Schizosaccharomyces pombe: one gene and its partner. Changing the gene in region 1 together with any one later gene gives a genetic interaction. Each region holds a gene or a part of one and is shown in the gene's direction. Other genes may lie near its edges.

Region 1 (6,199 bases):
CATTCTCATCCGTTTATTTTTTGAATCTCGAGAAGCAAAACAAATCGCTCCTCGTATTCTCGCCATCATAATCAATGAAAACGAAATTATGCAAAAGACGGCTGTAAATGCAGGTTTTATTGATGCTGCCAAATATCTTCTAGAATACGCAACTAAAGAAGAAGAGAATGAAATTAATTTTTTATCCGATGAATTGCAATCCAGCGTTTGTTTTAATCTTCCTGCTACCAAAAAGGAGCAAAAAAACCTAATCTTAGAATCAGTTTTGCTAGCCGTTGCTGCATTAACAACTTCTAAAGATGAATACAGAAAACTAATAGTTGATGCTAAATATTTGCCTGTTATCATTAATGCTTTGAAAATCAATTCTAACAGCGTGAAAAAGGCTGCTTGTGAATGCTTATTAAGTCTCTCGAGAAGCGTTTACATTTTACGTACGGGCCTTGCCGATGCAGACGTGAGCGAACCATTAATAAAGTTGCTTTCTGACCCGGATACTAGAGTCAAATCGACTGCTACGTCTGCCATTTGTAACTTGGTACTTAAGTTTTCTCCTTTGAGAGAGAAATTCCTTACTACAAATTTCATTGATACTTTGATATCAAATATTAGTACGAAAGATAGCAGTCTAAGAAAGAAGACCGTGTGGGTTCTGCGGCATGTTGTATTTGGTGATGATGAGACGATCCAGCTTGAACCTTTAAAAAAGATCGGTGCTTCAAAGCTTGTGGAACTTTGCAATGACGAAGATCTGGGGGTCCAAGAGCAAATGTTGCAAGTGCTGCGAAATTTTACATGTCAGAAAGAAGAAAGCGTGGATTTTCTTTTGAAAATGGTTCCTATGGAGTTGTTAGCAAAAATTTTGCTTGAAAAATTAGAAAGTAAAAATCCTATCCTAATTGAACCCAGTATTTACATTTTGGTGCACATCGCTGCCAGCGATGGTGAGCTTAGGGATTCTATCCTAAGGCAAACCAAACTACTACTATTGGTGAAGGAAATTATGCTACAAGAAGCACAACGTCTCAAGCCCGAGCAAATGTCCACAAATGTGTCATCTCCGGAAAGTGACAGTGAAATGGATTTGCAAGAAGATGATTTTGATAGGGAAATGCGTCCTCCTTTCGATATTTATGAAGAGGACACTTATGAACCAAACTCCGAAATTCTGTTGGCCGGAATTTGGCTCTGTATTAACATTCTATGGCCCAAACAATGTACATCTCCAAGCCAGGAAGATAAGGAAAGAGCAAGTATCTTACAAAATCTCGGATTTGGAGAATGTTTGCAGATGCTACAAAATCACTCATCTCCTGATGTAAGGGAACGTGTCAAAGATGCCTTGATGTACATCAATGTAACCGATTAATTTCTATTACGCTTTTCCGTTGTCTTTGCCGACTTGATTGGAACAGTCTAACAAATCGGAGCCATTTTCGCATTTAGTATTTCTGTATGTATAAATGTGTGCACAACTCTTGCAGCTGAAGTTAACAGGTTGTTGGATTGAAGTACTTTGAGAATGATCGTATATAAAAAGATTTAATGATTTATCAAAACGAATAAAATAAGTATTATGAACATTCAACTTATATGTATGCGGGATAGTGTAAAAACCTATTTAACATTGTAAAAATTTTTTAAGGAAAGTTGTACTTTGACAAGAACAATTTCATTTACATGTATTCTACTAAATTTATCAGAATGTTGGGAATTTTTTTGTTGGTATATAATGCCGAAAGGAAATTAATCGAATATGAAGAAAGTGGCGGAACTAAAAAACAAAACCCACAAACTAATTATTTAAATAAATATAACATAATAACTTGTTAAAATAAGAGTAATACTAGAGAATGTGTGCTCAAGTGGAAAGCATGTAATACTTGCACAACGTGATGGAAGAGATTAGTGTAGTAGCGCAGCGACAGCTTCCAACAACCAACTAATCGAGGAGGAAAGCAAAAGTGAGAATTGAAAAGAAGTAGTACATTAAAGACCTTTAAATTCTTTGAAAGAATTGCCTTTATAAAGGTAGTCTATTGCATTTCAAAGTACTCTCAAGATGAATTTAGAATTTTCTTTTGGAAATTTGATCGCCAAAAATACCGAGAATTCGACTAAGGAAGAAGGAACTTGGGAAGTAAACAAGCTCATGAAATTTAGTTCAGAGGAGGGGAGGTCTTCCTCTGATGATTATATGTTTTCCTCTCCCGATTTTGAAAAAGCCGGAAACGGCGATGCAGAAATGCGTGAATTTTTTAACTTCGATGGATTGCCGGATCAAGGTCTAAATTTGCCTAGTATAGCTCCTCCGTCTTTATCCCATGCCAGTTCACCTAACTTATCGAATTCACAAGATGAAGCGGAATGTTTACCGTCTGATCGTCAGCAAGACTACATCAATCCTAGTTTGCATTTGAACAGAACGGTGTTTCCTACTCCGCAACATTCTATTTCTGATGCTAATTTTCTAGCTAATACCGTTGATCAACCTTTGGGAGATAATCCCATGTTTGGAGAGTCGGATGTTTATCTTTTAAAAATGGATCCTATGAAACAAGCACCTTATGAAGCTGGATTTAATTCTGTAAAGTCATCGGGCGCCATCGAAGATCCATTACAGTTTAGACAGCCGATTACCATGTTGGAAACTCCCTTCAACGAATCTATTAATACTCTTACGCCATATGCCGAAGATTATGCATTTTCCTCTTTAAATACGTCTGCACCGCCTCTTTCTAATAAGGAGTACGCGTTCTCAGTTAATCATTTACCAGCTATCAATGAGCACAAATGGAAATCTCGGGTGGAAACTAACATGCTTTTTGAGTTGCGGATCAAGAGCAACGATAATCAAAGTGTTCCGTTTGAATATCTTCGCTTGCCAAGTTGGGCTCACCGTGAAGACAAAAAGCGTTCTTCGAAACCTCAGCCTTTGCAACCCGATCCGGAGACCGTCATTCATCTTGTACCTACCGTTCTTGCAGGTGACAAAAGCTCAGTTGTTAAGACTTGCTGTACTCGCTGTTTACTTCGAGAAAGGAAGCGCAATGCTCGATCTCAAGCAACAAAGGATGCTTGTATGCCTAACTATACTAAACTGAAGGCTTATGAGCGTAACATGACTGATGCCTCTCCCGAAGAAAAGCAGCAGTTCAGGATCAAGCTCTTAAATCAATTTCCCAAACTTGAAGACATAGATGAAGATAGAATGATAATGGTTTTTACTGGACCTGAGTACGTTCGTTTGCAATTGGATGGAAATGAAAGAGTTGCTCACATCAATGCACGGATTACATGTTACTCGTCTCATCAATCATGCCCTTACTTTCACATCATATGGGACTTATACTCCATGTCACGTTTGGTGGATCGTCTTGTTTTTCCAGAGCCTGTTACCGTTCTTGATGATCATAAAAGTAGAAATCTTACGAAATCAGAAAAGACTGGTAAGAGCAATTCTCAACAAGCTCCTTCAAACCATGTTCTTTCTAAAAGCAATACTGTCCCCAATCTTGTCACTGGTTTCCCTACCCGTTCAGATAATCCACCAAATGAAAAGCGTCGTCGAACATCCTCGAGTGAAAATTCTAGAGCACTCGACATACAACTATCTGCTAGTGACTCGCATTCACCTAATTCGAAAAGCACTTTGAAAAGTGTTGAGGGCTCAGCCTTTAGTATGAGCAAATCCCCTTCTGTGCTGAGTATGACTACCCCAAGCGGCGTAAGTCCTTCCATTTCAAAGAATGGTTTCCATGTTGTTCGAGTTCCCAGCGATGCCGCTGGTTTCCAACAAAGACAACAGCAAGAGGAAGGAGTGCTTGAAGCCCATACAAATGAAAGTGCCCCAATAGCCCCATTCCCTTACTGTACAGATGATTTCTCGTTTTCCGTTGAAGAAAAAAGTAGTGTCAACAACTTGCTTACACAATTTGATGAGGTTGCTAAACCTGATTTTGTAAGTACGCCGATAAAAGAAAATGTTGATTCTTCTTTTATAAACATGACTCCACCTGATGTTTCACATGCTCCCTTAATATCTCGGATTATTCCTAATAAGGGTTCAATCATGGGAGGTTATGAAGTTACAATTCTTGGCGCGAACTTTTTTAATGGATTAGTCTGTTTATTTGGTGACAACCCAGCTGCTGTAACTTTTTCGTGGAGTGAGTCAACGATTATAGCGACTTGTCCTCCTGCAACTAATGCTGGAACCGTTCCTGTAACCTTTCAGAACTATAATTCATCTTCTGAAGCGCCAGTAATGTTTACTTATGAAGATAATTTAGATAATGAACTTTACAAATTAACTGTTCAAGTTTTAGGCTTAAAACTTACTGGATCTATTCAAAACCCATTAACGTTATCCAAAAAATTGTTGAGTTCATGGCGCGACGATTTTGCTCAATATATAACAAATTCTATTAAGCAGCCTCCTAACAGTGAATCTAAAGGTCAGTCTAAAAAAACCTTATTGCATGATAGCAATATGGAATCGCTTAAATCGGTTATTTCGCGGATTGTGAAAAAAGACAGTAATCAGTCTGATGACAGTGTTGAAAGTACTATCCTCGCAGCATTTGCTCTTGTTACAGATACAACGACACCATACCTTTCTGATTTTAGTCTTGTTAACGAATCTGGTAGGTCACTTCTCCACCTTACTGCTGCCTGTGGATTGTCTAATGCTTCGACGTTCTTATGCAACGCAGGATGCGATGTTAACAAAAGGGACGCACTTGGCTATACACCACTGCATTATGCTTCATTGTATGATCATAAAGACATATGTGTTAATTTACTTTCCAACGGTGCCAAGCCTGATGTTATAGGAGCTAGCGGTAAAAAACCGATAGACCTCTCCTCTTCTGAGCCTATAAAACTGGTCTTTAAGGAAGCAAATAATGAACAAGCCCAAAGTATTTCTCGCTCTCTTATTAAGGATTCTGAAGGCTCCATTAATACAAATGAAACCTTAGAATCAACCAGTATTGTTAACGAAATTGAGGAATCTGCTGTTCAGACCAAGTCATATAGTGAAAGTATGTGGAATAAAACTGTTACAATGTTTCCATCGCTTCAAGAACTACCTCAGAATTATATGAGTGAAGTTCCATCCATGATGCAAAAAGCCATGCTGTCAACCTTAAAAAGTATATCGGCCATTCCCGATGATGTACCCCCTCCTTATTCTGAGTTTGCTGATGATACGACAGCGCAAGCTGGTTCTAGTAAAAGAGATAGCGCTATATCTGAAGATCCCGATCATCACAAAAGTGTTTGGTGGTCTTTGAGATGGCAATCTCGGCTTGTTGGTCGTGGAAAATCTACTGCTCTTACTCCTGAAGAAACCAGAGCAATACAGGAGCAGGCAAAGACACTGAAAAAGGCAGGAATGGACTTTATGCTATTCTCTTTCTGGTTACCTGCCCTACTTTTGCTGAGTATCTTTGGTCTTCGAAGCTATGCTCAAATGATCGGGGGATATTTATATCGCTGCATAATTGGCATTTAGGTTTGACGAACAACCATGCATGTTTTTTTCTTTCTTTTAGTTTTATTCTTTTTTGTAGATTATGAGCAAACTACTGTCAAAACTTAGGTATTATGACAATGAAATCGTATATATTATATTCGATTGGATCAATTTTTTATTATATTGAAAGTAATTGCTTATTTTGTAAGTTAAACTTACATGGGTTTAAACGCATAGAGCAGGTTGGCGCTTTTAAAACCAAAATAGATCGTTGCAGGTTTGCTGTTCTGGATCGTGAATGCAATACCTTAGGAAAGTCTTTTAATAAGCTATCGCTTTTTGCATTGCATTCTTTTTCTAAACTGAACGTTAGATTAGCTAAAGTAAGCGTCTTGAGTTTTCGAGATGAACCGCATACATTAAAATTTTTAAGTACCAATTGGCATGAACCGGTATGCGATCTGCTTATTATAATACTAGTAAATCTTGATACTCGGCAAACTCTTTCAATAATAGCCTAGCAGAAACTGGGATATGTCTAAAGTTTTACAACTGCGCTCAGCTTAAGGACTTTACGGCGATCCATTTAATAGCTAGCCATGAACACTCATAACCTCAAGATTGAGGAGTGGGTCATTCTTTTGCTTGATAAAGAAACAAATTCATTATTGGTAAAATAAAACTGAATAACCCTTAGTTCATCCTAGGAATTTGAAGAAG
Region 2 (3,628 bases), on another chromosome or scaffold:
GGTAAGTTGTTGAGTAGCATAGGTGGCATCATCCATCGGTGGCTTGGCAGAGATGGGAGGCACTTGAGACGTTGGTTCGGGTTGGTTGGTCATGGACTGTTGAATAGTAGAACCGTTAGTAAGAGTCGATAGAGGTGTAGAGGGCTTTGGAGTAGGTATGGAAACTTTAGCAATGCCAGTAGCAGTAGAAGTGGTTTCGTCGGGTTCGTCTTGAAACGTTACGTCAAAAAAAGAGTTCTCTTTTTCCTCGATGTTTTTAGGAATGCTGAAGTGATTGTAAGCCATAGATGTCACTGGAATAGTATTGGTTAATTGAATAGGACACATATGCGTTTCTAGGAGGAGAGTAGAACCTTTTCTAAATTACTTCCTGAAAACTGATTAGTTCAAACCTGCAGGGATTTAGCGGAGATTAAAAAAAAAAAGGAAAACGGATTAGGCTCCTTCTAAGCTCTTATTGCAGTTTCTTATAAATTGAAATTGCAATCAATAGCTGTGATTACTTCGACAAAAATGAAGTAAACGACCAAGGAGAACGGAGTAGTGGTAAACGGGGTGTAGCAGTGACAAAGAGAAAATTTTCTGCAAGTAAGTCTTTTGGTGGGGAAATAACGAAGTTTGAAGAACGTATAGTAAAGTCGCACAATTTACTGATAGGAAGTGGTAGCGTAGCTTTACGCCTCAGTCGTTATATCTTTGGAAGTGAAAATGATGAGATTAATAAATGAGAAGAGCATTACAAGAATGGGTTTTTTAAATAATCGTAAATTTCCTAGCTAAAGCTAACGAATGCTGCCAAGTGAAATATCATTCTTTTAGTCAATATAGCAGGTATTAACGTAGTTGTTTTCGTTGGCCTTTGCTTCGGTATATAGGATAGCGTGGTTCAAGCGACTTTGTAAGATCAGATGAAAGATAAAGGGCAAAAACCTAAATAGCGTCCATGCATCAGTGGAACTTTCTTTCTTCAGATTACGTTATATGGTATAGTGAGCTTTGAAAATCGTTGAAAAAATTCGAATTTAATGGTGCAGAGGCAAAGACGATATGGACGTTCGGAAAAATGAAAACTATACTGGAGGAAGTTATCTTTATTTGATTCTGTCTTCGTAATTAAGCTTCCTTCAGCTTCGAACTTTTCATTTCCTAATTCGAATACCTATTTGTTCACCCGTACCTCTTTAGGTTTATATTTGTTCTTGCAAACTGTTCTGCGGCGATATGAATTTTGCTACCCCAAAGTTTACGTAAGCCAAGTTTGTCGTAAATAAATTCGCAAAAAAAAGTACTTTGGATGGTGCAACATGGAAGAATTGAACGCCGTTGAAACGCTGGTATTTTTGAACATGAAGTATCTCAGTATTCAACCCAAAGTCATAAAAATTCTTGAACCTTTAGCTTTCCAAGCGCTGAATGAGCATACTGGGACACATTTTGAAACCATAGACGCAAGTAATAATTGCGTAAGTTATATAAAACTCATAGAGCCAACAAAGCTAGTAGCATTTACTTCTTAATATTATATTGAAATTCCAATAAATAATCTTTGAATATCGTTTGTATGAAATACCCGAGAGCAATTGCGGCGCTAAATTAAACTGAATGTTCAGTTACCAAGATTTATGTCACTTCATAGAAAGATATAATATCACAGTAGCGTGTACCATTCTTCTATACCTCACTGAACGAGGAAGTCTACAATTCTGCTTGGCCTAGCACAGTGTTAGCGAGGGTGAAGAATAAAATTATGATGCTAATTACCAAAACGGTGATTTCAAAAAAAGTTGAGGAACTTTCATATTTTCATTTTTTGCCTCTTATAGGACGCTATGTATTACGTTGCGTAACTTTGACTTTTGCAAATACTTGGATGTACCACTGTCTCCATGTTTGTTTGTTGGTCAATATAAAACGTAGTATTAGACATTAAAATATTGGTTTAATTATTTCATTTAGAAAACTCAATAGAAATTTAGCAAATATCGTCAACCAACCTAGATTGATCCTGTTTCACGCAATTCGGACTATATGAATCGTTTTTGATTGCTTTCTAGACTTCATAGCATTATTACTTACCCTTCTACTTTTTTAATACCTTCGAAATTGTCAAATTGACTCATTATTGCAAAAATGCTGTACAGGCTCTCCGAAAAACAGCAGACAGACTTACGGTGTAATAAATTAACTGTCGATGGATTTGAGCTGGTAAAAATGTTAAAGGAATTACGATTACATAACAGGAATATCAATTTTTTGGAATTTCTTCGAGGTGTACAGATTGTGCCGAGCGACAGTGTCTTCTTGGGCGAAATTGATGAAAACAGCCATACTCAAGACAATACAACTACTTCTATCTTAAAGGAGAAAGAGCTATATGATGGTATTCCTCTGCTTCCATCAATGGCAGGCGTATCCATGGACCCTGAGAGAGAAAAAAAATCAGAGTTACGACTAATGAAAAACCAAATCAGCGCTATAATCAATATACTCTTCACAGTAGTAGGAACGGTGACCGCTGTTTGGTACTGCACTTCATCTTTATCTATTGAAAAGGTATGAATTAAAAACTTTCGTTTTGTTCCTGGGAGACCTTTGTATTGACTTAATATTATTTAGAAAATTGCGCTATGTGCGTTTTCAGCAATCTTGGTTCTAGTAGCAGATACGTTTCTTTATGTCCGCTATCTATCTGCACAACCCGTACGAACTTCAAAGAATCATACTCGACAAATAATATATACATGGACAACAAATGACCCTGTTCTACAGTCAAATGAGCAGCTAGCTATAGAACTGGGAGCCATTCCATCTTTGAAGGAAAAAAAGAACCAATAATTATATTCTTAATTTTTAGATGTTTTATTAACGAAAGTACCTTTGATGTTTTCCTGTAGATGATTTTTATAGGTTGTTTGTCTAATTGATCATAATGGCATACCTCTCTATGTGTTAATTGAAGGGCAGGCACCTATGGGCACACTATAGATAAAAAATAAAAAGTATTTAAGATAAAAAATTCGAACTCATTTGGCTTTTAACGTATATTTCATCAATTAATTTCATTATAATTAAAGATTTAGCAACATTATTTCAATTTAATTAGCCATTTGGTATTAGATTTATTTGTAAGGAACACAACTTACAAATTTATAAATAAACAACAAATCAACCCCCCCTTGTAAAAAAATTAAAAAAAAAAAAAAAAATAGAGAGCAACCTAACCATTGAGTTACCAGTGAATTATGCAAGGCGCAACTTGACCTTAAGTTTCTTCCATATAATCAATAGTGCAAGCACAGACATAACGTTTAATATTAAGCATACCGCAAAAAAAACAACAGGTGAGAACGAGCGAAATGCACCGCCAAAGATAGCACCAACTGTGTCGGATAAGGAAATTGATATTTGCACAGCGACGTTACCTATCAGGTGGTACTTAGGATGTAAAACCTTTGTCAATAAAGAGACCGAAGGGGAATTAGCAATAGAAGATCCAAAAAAAACAAGGGTGTAAATAATAAAGTAAGGTTGTACGAATTCCTTGCCTGTATAGTGAATAGTTATATGAATAACCATGCATACGATGTTTAAACAACAACCCAACAATATGATATCTCTGTCAGTCAAG

What was found. A genetic interaction does not mean that the proteins touch.
Region 2: mutations in mga2 (region 1) and vph2 together harm fitness more than expected from each alone (negative genetic interaction), as found in Schizosaccharomyces pombe (2 studies listed by BioGRID).

What each region holds. Positions count from the first base shown.
Region 1 is NC_003424.3:4,123,150-4,129,348, forward strand, and holds mga2 (IPT/TIG ankyrin repeat-containing transcription regulator), read left to right. Parts: upstream 1-1,933; 5' UTR 1,934-2,062; coding exon 2,063-5,518; 3' UTR 5,519-5,656; downstream 5,657-6,199. Other genes in the region: protein Gid5, read left to right, coding at 1-1,369.
Region 2 is NC_003421.2:66,401-70,028, forward strand, and holds vph2 (V-ATPase assembly protein), read left to right. Parts: upstream 1-1,851; 5' UTR 1,852-2,130; coding exon 2,131-2,553; intron 2,554-2,616; coding exon 2,617-2,835; 3' UTR 2,836-3,079; downstream 3,080-3,628. Other genes in the region: RNA-binding protein Rnc1, read right to left, coding at 1-285; SPOM_SPCC757.11C (transporter), read right to left, coding at 3,241-3,628. UniProt on the Schizosaccharomyces pombe protein: Required for vacuolar ATPase assembly.